Drosophila melanogaster: one gene and its partners. The protein of the gene in region 1 interacts with the protein of each later gene in a pairwise test. Each region holds a gene or a part of one and is shown in the gene's direction. Other genes may lie near its edges.

Region 1 (3,759 bases):
TTGTAGTCGACTTTGCGGCGTTTATGGGATGGAAAGTGGGCGGGGCACAAGTTCCGCACCCCCAAAAACAAAAAGCCATATAATTGAGCTCAAACATTAAGCGGCTTTTCGAGGTTTTGCTTGGCATATTGAAACCGAATCATTGCTTGATTGAATTACATATCGTGGGGTTAGTGGTGCAGAGAACAGAACTCCCTCGAATTTCTTGAAGTCTTCGTTTTCGGTTTCCACACGTTTCCGGTTCAAATTTAAATTAAACTTGTTAATTATTCCATCCGAAGAACAACCCACACAAGACAGGAACATGTGTTCACTACTCCACTTCCTTTCCTTGGGCGTCCCACATTTTGCGGGTTTCCTCGTTACCATTTGCGATCATGATAATGATCCGATGCGATCATTTTGATCCTTCCCCTTCGACGTGACGGGCATGCGTCAAACTCAAATACGTATGTAACTCGAGCCAACCTTCACTTTTATTTTCTAGTTTCCTACCATATTTATTCCTTTTTTTCGGTAGCAGATGTCGCCTAACATCATGTCTAATGAAATGCTTCAGTAGCTCCACAATGAAATAGGGAACCCTCATAGTTCGGGGCGTGAAAGTTGTTGACATGTGGGTAGGAATTCCGTGGGGTAATACCTTTGGAAGAACAGGGGAATCGACTTCTAATACATTTCTAGCACGTGTCGTCATGGCTTCTGTTCTAATAATTCAACCGACACAAGTTCAATATAAATATTAAACTATGTACATACATAGGTATACAATGAAAATATTGAAATATTGAAAAATATTTACCAAACACTTTAGTTAAATGGGTAGCCTAATTGTCTGAAGACATATCTCCTACATTAGTTGATTACTCATAAATCATAAGCGTAACATTTTTATAAAATAGAGCACATACTATATAGTAATTGAAAGTATAATACTGGGGGAGTGCCCTTTATTAAATAAACTGCAACAACGTATGTTTTTCTCATAACTGTGGATGAATCATTCTGTTGATTTGCGTATCGCTCAAAATAAATGCATTAAAATCTTCTTTATAGTTTTCATTGCGCAAAAGTTGATTGAAAGAATCATTATATTTTGTCTTTCTTACCAAATAAGTGAATTTTCTCAGGGGTAGGGATATGAAACCCTATGCGAAAAGGGGTGTTGGGTTGGAGGTAGCCAAGGGTAAGGGTTTGTGCTGTAATGACGCATCAGGACGTGGAATTTCCCTACATATGCCAGATGTTCCCATCGGCATAAACTGCGCTTCAACACTTGCCGCCAGTTGATAAGCATTTGAAAACGAGTTTCAAAAACCGAAATCAAAACCTTTACTCAAACAAAAGTGCCATATCAACAAACTTCTTTCCCTTCCCCTTGCCAGCTTCCCTCTCTTTTTAAGAAAAATTAATAACAAAGAAATATAGGGAGATCGGCATCTACTTCTATTTGAAGCATGTACAACTCAGAAATTTTTAATAACTTTAAGTTTTATATTTATAAAGAGCTGTAGACTACGTAATACCTCTACTTTGGGTTTTGGGTGTTGACTTGAACAATTTATAACAATTTTACCCTATGTTCTCCTACATGTTCTATAAAGTATCTGATCTGATCATAATATCTGAGGTGTCTTGTTTCACTAACAATAAACGCTTTACCAAAACTACAATACCTTTTTCATAAAATCACCATCGAACATTTTGCACTTACTGTACAGGAAAACAAAGCCGCTACTTTTACTGCTGCTTTCCAGCCACCCCTATGATTTATAAATTTACAATGCCGGCTGCTTCCAGTTCCAGTGCACAGTGGTCCAGTTCGAACTAAATCATAAACATGAATTATGATCATGTCTAATAAGTTTAATTAAATTACTTATAAAATATTACAACAATTCGTTGTGTAGGTGTTTTCAATGCTAATCACTGTTGCTTGACATAATTTGTATACTATTATAAACTTACAAGTTATATCTTAAATTATGTTTTTTCTTTTTTTCAAGAGAGAAACATGTTCTCGCCGAAAACACGTTCCACTTCCAGTTCCCCGAATAAAAACAAATCCAAGAAAATTAACATTAACAGTTGCTGTTAAGACTCTGTTAACCGTTTCGAAGCCGCATGAATTGCATGACATCGAAACGGCGTCAGTCAGTTTTGTTCTGTTTTGGAAGCCGCACGCGTTTTCCCTCGCTCCGGTTGTGCTCGCTTTCGCATCGCACACACACACACACTCTCGCCGCACAGACGCGACCAAAAGAAAACAAAATCAAATTCGGCGCAAACAAGGAATAACTTTTTATATTCCTATTGTGCATCGTATGTTGTATTAAGTGCAAGAAATATATTTACACAAATCTAACAAAAACACCGCAACTACTTTTGTGCATTTTGTTTTGCTCTGTGCCGAAGGAGCGGAGAAAAGAAAAAACCGCAACAAATCAAAAAATCTGTGCGTTTGTTATACACACCTAAGTGTCCTGCAGGAAGGACATCGGGTTCATTTACGCCACCCGCTGTTTTCAAGGACCAACGGATTATTCCCAATTGCCACATTTCAACAAGTTCGAAAAAAGCAACACACATTTTACACAGTGTTTGCGAGAATTGAAAAAGGTAAGATTACAAATTCGTGTGAAGGACCTCGGGGATTTGTAGAAGAGGAAGAGCAGTTGAAAACAAATCGATGAATTGTAAATGAAGTCAAATTTGTCTGCCAACTTTAATAATTTAACAAGTGAATATGGACACTTCAAACTTGAAAGATTAAAATGTGATTATAATTGAATAAAACAATTTACATGCATATTTATTTAGTTTTATACAAATGTAAAGATTTTGGCCAAAAAGTTTATTGAAAAACGCTAATGCCGTAGCAATTGAAATCTGAGTTATTTGTGAAAAGTAGAAGATAAAAGATATAAGAGCTTAATTTGAAAACTTTTAAAATATGTCGGTATCCGATCTTGACGGCTCTAAATTAATTTATAATCCTCCACAATCCATAATTACCGAGGAAACATCTTACCAAAACAATTTAAATGGCGTCTCGAAAAACATTTCATTCCGAGCTCTTAATAAGATTAATGGGGCTTCACGATTCATTGATATAATCCCTCCGTAACGAAGCACACCCACCCCATCGTCATCATCATCTTACGCGTCTTGAGGTCTAATGGCTCGTGTCAATGATCAGACGGACTCTTTCCCTCAATAATTCCCATTTTCCATCCTTTCTAATGGCTTGTGTCGCGGCTCCGTATGAAAAACATAACCATTTGACATAAATCACGGCCCTGACAAATCCTTTTGAACATTTCATAAACATAATGTGTGTTAATCCTCAGATATTTCAATCCATCAACATCCAGAGTTTGGTGGATGGAGTTGCCCCAAAAATAGCGCGACCCCTTTGGTATCATTTGTATGCACAGTCAGACGCCGGCTTGAATAAATCCCCAAATAGTCATTCCGTAAACAAATGCAAAGGAAATTGTTGAAGGGATACGGATACCGGGAAAAAGGGCAATAATTCAATGATGAATTAATAGGCGCATGGAAATGATCACGAATTCCCGGGATCTTCAGAGAAAGTTCGAGTTGGCAGCTGCTGCTCTTCGATTCGCTCCAGAAAAAGAAAAAAAGACTTCCGGGGAATCGAGCAACTAAAAAGTGAGAAAAGCATCAACAAAGCCAAACAGAGGCACAACAAATGGGGTAGGAAAACGTGAAGATGCCACGCTGACGCAACATTTG
Region 2 (3,759 bases), on another chromosome or scaffold:
AGTTTTAAAGATAATGTTGAAATTTTTCATTTTGTATGAATTTGTATTTAAGTTTGTTGTTTTGATAATGTATTTTATAAGACTTGCAAGCATTGGGATTAAAATGGACATTTTTGAAAAGAAAATACGCTGAACATTTCTAATCAAACTAGTTCTAAGGCACAGACTAGTATGAGTATACTAGAAATGCCAAGAAAAAGGCCACAGACTGGACTCCCATGGCATAAATATGTCCCATCCTTCAAAAGCGCTGGGTGTTTTATCCTCTATTGCTTACCTATTCTATTATGGTGTCACACGTGATTAATATGGTTATGGGTGTTGTCACATTAGAGAGTAATTACTTCCTGCTCAAACTTATAAGCAAACTTATCGAGGTGACCCCGCACTCAAGCCAATCAATTCGATTCCCATTCGACCTGTATGATATTAGTGGCTTTGAAGGCGATTGATGCGATGACATGTGTATAATTAACTTCTTCGATATAGTCCCTTGCCATGGACAATAACTAAAATGGTGTCCGTGGGGATTGGCTTGGCCCTTAAACGTCAAGTTGTTGGCACAGACTTGCATTCCCCTTAGGGAAAAGTGGACACAACTCGCCAGCGAACTAGCAATATATTATATATCCCTATACGAATCTATTAGTCTACTTAAACCCAGTGCTATACTAACAAACATATACAAACTATAACTGGGTTACTCCGCGGTTTTCTAACCCATTGAGATGCCTTACAAATTCACCTTTGTGGCTTGAACCGAGCTATTGTGGCTTATCGAAACCTGTTAGTTAGGCTTCACTTTTGCTCACTCAATCGACTTCACTACAAAAAGACGATTAAGCATTACCAACCACACTATCACTGGCACTTAACTGGGATCTCGAAAAGATTTTTTTGGTTCGATTACTGGCAAATGAAATGTACTAAATTAATATTTTAACTATGCTATGTTACATATATCATGAGCATGAGAAACTCTTTAAATCTCAAAACCATTTTAAATAGGGTTTTGATTTGTATCAGTAATAAATGTTCTATAGAAAACGTAAGAAGTTATGTCTGTGAAAGGATGTTTTCATAACTAACATATTTATTAAGTATTAAGTATATAGATAATATATAAATAAGATATACATATGTAAGAACTAAAAATGCCACACTTTTACTATACTTAGGTTACAATGAATCCTAAAATGGATTGGAAATATACAAGGGTCATAATTTAAAAAATTAGATCTATGATATAAGGACTTTTTCGAACTTATAGGTCCTATTGCTGTAAACCTTTGCTTAAAGAACATTTTCGTGCCTCGGAATCTAAACATCATAAGTTACCAACGTGATTTTATATTAGCAGTAGAAAATTATTTCTTGACATGAGGGCAATGATACCATACATCAGGACTGATTCGAGAGTCAAGTGCCCAATAGGAGTACATACTCATGCGAAGAAGTACCTCCATATCGTGGTAAGCACCGAGGAAGCTCGCCGAGGACGATGTTCATGGGTGATTCATTTTCGATTGCCGAAATCAGAGTTCCGATTCGTGGTGACTCGTCTGGGAACAATTTGTATAGGAATCTTGATAAGGGCTCCAGCAATAGTTATCCGCAGCTCGTTAAACGCAATCGAGATCTACGTCAGGATTGTTAGAATATTGGAACACGCAGCGATAGCTACATTTACGGTGCCTTGCAAATTGGACGATAAGAGTTCGGATCGGTACAATCATTACCGGCAGTCCTCCCACTTCGTGGATCACTGTATCTGGAACTACAACTGGAACTTGTCCGGGTTTATCTTATCGTAGCCGATGCGTGGTCCGCTTCGTCAGGAGCACCGACGGCTAGTGGTTAGGGCTAGAGGTGCCGGTAACTAGCAGCGGCTAGAGCCCACAAGATAGCACTGAGCAGCGACGTCGGCGTCGACGCCACGGATGTGGATGTGTTGGGTGGGTGGGCCATAGTTCAGTCGTGAGTTGCGTTGCGTTGCGTGCGGTCAGAGGCTCTGCCGACAGTTGGGAACCCGGTCTGGAGTCAAGAGCCCAGTGTTTTGATCAGAGCAGTGCGAATTCGGTAAATAAATAATCCCGTGGTAGCCGAGGGTCTGAAATTATGCAAATTGCCTGGGTGCAAGTAGCACTAAGTGTGGCAAGCAGCTTAGCCCATAGTTTAGGACGATAGCCCAACTATGTATCTTCGATACTTTGTCATCGCCCGCGATAAGATATCATCCGACCCAGCCCGGTATCCGATCCACAGGTTTTCGGGGCACTGCTAACCCGGATAGATAAAGCTTTGCTTGCCACTATCACTCCCCGAACAAACGCCATTAGCCGCGTGTAAACACGAGTGTTGGGCTTCGTTTGATGGCTCCGCCAATGGACAGACCAGACCATAGGTGCTAGAGGTCGGGCAGACAGTGCCCAGCCTATCCCGCATATGTGTCTATGTGTCAGATAGACACTATTAATCAATGTGACGCAGCCCCAGCCCGGGGTTGAGTCAGAGCACCTGCTCCACCCTCAATCCTAACGTGGCACCCCGTTTGGGGACTTACCACTTGCCACTTTGACAAACGAGCCGTCTACTCCCTCTCATCCAAACCAAATCCCCGCGCTTACAGGCTTTCCTATCAGCATTGATAAGGCAAACTATTGACGGAGCAAGTTCGTCCGTGGAATGGCGACGCTCAGTGCGGCGCGTAGGCAAAAGGCAAAGTGCCCGCGCCGTTAAGAATGGAAATGTTTGTGCGGATCCCATATGGGCACGCATCATCGGAAAGAAACATCTGGCGCACTTCGGGAATGCCAAGTTCAATTGAGCCCCTGACGGCCACTGGGTGAAATGCCTCCAGTGCATTTCCAACATTGCTCTGTAGGTTGCAATTACGACCTGCAATTGATTCGCCCTAATCGCTGTAATTACATCTATTACCGAATCAATTAAACAAATGTTCTGCAAGTGTGGTGTTTCGAAAATCTTTCCCACACCCAACTAGGGAATCCTATAAGTTCAACGCCAGAATAGAAGGTATCAATCCAAAATTTCTTCAACTAAAAGGAAGTCAAAATAATATATCCTTAGGGTCACTAGAAATCGGATAGAAGTTAATTGATAAGCAAAACTTTGACTTTAATGGATACCTTGGAATGCAGATAATAGGTGCAGATACTTTTTCTATACTTATATTTTGGTTTCAATAGATTACGCTATCGTAGGTTTGGCTGTGAAATTTTTTTATGAATCATGAAAATGGCAAATACTATACAGTGCGCATATCAAATATGTAGGAAATGCTGCATCCCTTCAAAAACTATTAATAAAAACAGGATTATTTATAATACATTGTCGTTTTATTTGTGTAAATACCATAAGCATCAAGGTCAAAATTATGAATTCGTAACCAATTATCTCAGCAGATAGATAGCTGTTGTTTTTTTTTAATTAAACAATATGTTCTTAAGGAGATTTACTTAAAATATATTTGTGTGAAATATTTCATTTAGCTGCGCCAATGAGGGTTATTTAATTCAGTTTTTTGGGGATGATACATTTGATCTGTGTACAAAATAACTCTAAGAGGAGGTGAATTATATATTTAATTGAGCGTGTCCGATACAATATGGCATCATGTTGCTGCTGGGCACGCAAAGTAATTAATTCCAAAGATAATCAGTGGCAGAGTATCATGCTCGCAAAGGAACAGCAAAGTCTTATCCGATTGTTTTTCGCACTGCAGTTGCCAAATTGATG
Region 3 (3,759 bases), on another chromosome or scaffold:
TCCATTTGTACCCAAGTCAATTAAATTTTATTGTCCGATTTCCTAGCACATACATTTGATGTGATCAGTAGCATTGAAAGATATCAATTTTAAAATACATCCAAGTCTGGCTACGCTTAGATTAGGAATGCATTTAGATAAATTGATTCTGATTGCATAATACGCGTTATTACCAGGTAATTAGTTAATTTTCACCCAGATACCGATCAGAATTCATATGCCCGACACCCGGCCAGTAGCGTTCGCATTGAGAGCCAAGACCATAATTACAGACGCCGTTCGCAAATGGAGCTGGATTGGATCGGGTCGGGTTGGAGCTGAAGCTGAAGGTGGCTGAAGGTGGGCACCTCGACAAATCCACAAATGTGTGGATTGCACTTGAGCCAGTCGAGGCATTCATTCAGGCAGTCGGCCCACAGCTGTCGACAGTGGGCCGAGCTAATAAAATGAAAACAAAAGTGGCACCGGCAAAAAATATAATTTATAATGTTGCGCATACCGCAAAAATGTCAAACACGCCCCAAACCGATCGCCCGCCCGCGCATAAAAACAACAACAACAGCACATGCGGGTTCAAAAGAGCAGTTTGAAGTTGGTTTGGTTTATTCAAATTAAATTGGTGGCAGGCAAAGGCAAACAAATTAAGTTGCCGATACGAACTCAAGAATATGGAGTGTGCCATATAGACTATAAACGAGTATATAGGCGCATATAGCCAACCGCCCTCCCGATTTCGCTTATCGAATGCAAATAATCAAAGTTAGCCAGGGTGCAAGCACTCATTATATTGCAACGGACAAGAGAGGCTCACTGCTGCACTTGCAGAAAAAATGCAATCGGATTTCGGATACGGAATCGAAATTCATTACATTAAATTATATTTATTTCTTTATGTATATATATATATTTATATGTTTAACTGAGCTATAAAAAAATAATAACATTTTGGGGAAAAAAAATCATCTCTTCTCTTTAATAACTAAGATACTCAATAATTGTTAAGAAGTTGGGATATTCAACTAAGATACATACAAAAATTAGTTACAACAGCATTTCTTTCGAAATCGTTCACTCACCTAGCATTCGACGAATATCATTTTCTCTTCTTAGGGATTATTCTTAGTTAAGGATAGCTCATTCTAAGTTAAATAATTTTGATTTTCCGAGTGCATGAGTGCATTTGGGAGTGCAACATCTAGATTAGCGGACAGCAAAGAAATGCTGCAACATGTGGCAACAGCGGTGGCCAAAAGTGAATAGAAAATCCATTTTGCTGTCTTTTGTTTTCCGCTTGCTTCTTTGGGCAGTGCTCTTGTTTCTCCTTTTTTTTTAATTTGCAAAGTTTTCGTTTCGTTTTCCGATGCAGTTCAATGATTAAAGAGGCAAACGCCCAGAAATTGGCCAGCTCACATTTCGTTATGGCCACCATTGGGGCATGTTGCAAGCGGTGGGTAAGAATTTTTTAATTTGATCGAGCGTTGCGCTTGGGGCGGGGCTCTTGGGCGTTTTTTGGAAAGGCACTGATCGATAAGATCGGCCTAATCCCGTGGCCAAATAATGAGTGCTAATTGTCCGCACCGCGGAAGTCAAAGAACTAGCACCCGAAACAACACCAAATAAAATACATTAATCGCCTAATGTTGAAGCCAGGTTGAAACCAATACCGGCAATTAAATCGCGTTGAAAGCAAGGTCATGGCAGCTGTGATTTTTTCCACAGTGACAAACGCAGCGCGGAAACGCACGAGCAACATGTTGCCAGTGCAACTGCAGGCCAGCAACATGCTGCAGCGGCACTCCACTGCAAGCGATTGATACACATTCTTCGGCTGCGATATCCACTTCGGCTCTGGCCAAACCCCGCTTCGAGCCCCGATTAAAGTGGTAATTCGATTACTCTGGAACTGGTACCACACATTGTTCTGCTCTTGCTCTCGTTGGCTTTTGTTGGCTTTTGTTGAACGCCCGATATTGCTGGTGTTGCGGTGTTTTCGCTGCTGTTACCAATGTTGCGCATGCGCCGGCGTCTCAGCCGGAGTCTCGGCTGCAGTGTCTCTGCTCCCCAATCCCCAGTCTCCGGGCTCGCTGGTCTCGGGCGGTATATATTAGGGCCGCCAGCCAGCAGTCAGCACAGTTCGTTAACAGTCCTAGTCGTGGTTCTAGGAGGTTCAACCAGCGTCCAGCGACCAGTGCCTGTGCCCGTGTGTCGTGTGTAGTTAGTTTTCCGTTCATCCGCAGTGTGTCCCCGAAACTCCTTTTCGAAGCTCAATCGTGTGATCATAGCTAAAATGAAGCCATTCGTAAGTATGCGCCATGGGATCGAAAGGATAACGCCGAGCAAGAGGATTAAAGTTATAAATAATATGAGTTGGAGTGTGTAGATTACCGTGAGGAGAAAAGGATATTTGGATTCCGTGCTTGAATTACTGAGATACATTTCTAACTTTTTCTGTTCTACAAATTAGTGATTAACGTCTCTGCATGTAATTTATTTTTCTTAAAGTTACAAAATTTTACCATAAAAGTGGGCAAAAGTTCATTTAATTGATTGATTCTATCATGAAATGCTTAAGTTCATTAAAATCGTAGTTTAATGGAACTATGTAAGTCCACAGCCAGGTTTCGCTAGTTAGAACTGCTTTTTCATTTTCGATCTTTGGGATATGTTAATCGGTATCAAGAGAGAAGTGTGGCATACCAAATCTTTAAATTGGATTTTGTCAGCCGTTCGAAAAGTAAACACTAGTTTGACAGTGACTTGCCATTAAGTTTGAATGAATTCCTGGCATTCTTTTAATCTGTCATAGCGCAATTAATTTAAAATTCAACTGACATTGCTTTTGTAAACTCAATTTATTTCGCTTAAATTCCGCTCCGAACGAAATGGCACCTGTGCATCGTTCAGTTCCATCCGAGAGTCAATTACCATGGCACGTCATGCTAAACGTACCACCCAGCAAACCATCAGCTGCCATGGAACTCCGTGCGAAATCCCGTTGATAAGCCGCTGACATGTTGCATGTCGGACAGTTTATTCAACCGTTTTTCCACCACTTTCTGCCCCACTCACCTGCTGACACATAATATCGTACATAATCGCGCCGCATGCGGTAATATCTTCGAACGAATATTGGCCGACCGACCGACTACTGACTACATATCTCGGAATCAAATCTAACGGTTGCGCTTCGCGGCTCTGAAAAGCGAAACCATTGGAAAAGCGAATCCAGAGGAGAAGCGAGTCCAGGAGAAAAGCGAAAAGATGGGCGTGTGGGGCAAGAAAAGCGAGAGGAAAACGCTGGCGCAAGAGCAAGAAAAGCGAAAAGCCTGTAATTAGGTTAGCAGAGGCGGCTTATAAGCTTCCACTGAGTGACACCTGCGATTAACGATTTTGGGCGGTGGCTACCGCACGAGTAATTATTGAGCAGTCACATAATCCCACGCCTAACACCTTCTGCACTGTGAGAAACATGTAGAAGCTATATGTTAAATAATTTGAAATATTCAAAGAGATGAAGGTACAAAAGTTCTCTAATCGGAATTCAACATAGGCAAAATCAAAAAGATTTTTAATTATTATTATATATATATTTAATATATAAAAATCAGTTCTGTAAAGCTATATTGAAATTTGTTAGTTTTTTTTATCAGCTACATCAAAATTACAAAAAATAATTTCCCATTTTTATTTAGTTTATTGCCGCAGCGTTGCTGATCTCGACGGTGTCCGCCTCTTGGCACGGAGCCGTCTCCACACAGT

What was found.
Region 2: the proteins of Nrt (region 1) and Fa2h interact in a two-hybrid assay, tested with the Drosophila melanogaster proteins (one large-scale study listed by BioGRID).
Region 3: the proteins of Nrt (region 1) and Cpr92F interact in a two-hybrid assay, tested with the Drosophila melanogaster proteins (one large-scale study listed by BioGRID).

Annotation. Positions count from the first base shown.
Region 1 is NT_037436.4:16,763,922-16,767,680, forward strand, and holds the start of Nrt (neurotactin), read left to right. Parts: upstream 1-2,150; 5' UTR 2,151-2,619; intron 2,620-3,759. UniProt on the Drosophila melanogaster protein: May mediate or modulate cell adhesion between embryonic cells during development.
Region 2 is NT_033778.4:7,449,766-7,453,524, reverse strand, and holds the start of Fa2h (fatty acid 2-hydroxylase), read left to right. Parts: upstream 1-1,971; 5' UTR 1,972-2,079; intron 2,080-3,529; exon of another isoform or gene 3,530-3,745; 5' UTR 3,746-3,756; coding exon 3,757-3,759.
Region 3 is NT_033777.3:20,667,444-20,671,202, forward strand, and holds the start of Cpr92F (cuticular protein 92F), read left to right. Parts: upstream 1-2,127; 5' UTR 2,128-2,287; coding exon 2,288-2,299; intron 2,300-3,692; coding exon 3,693-3,759.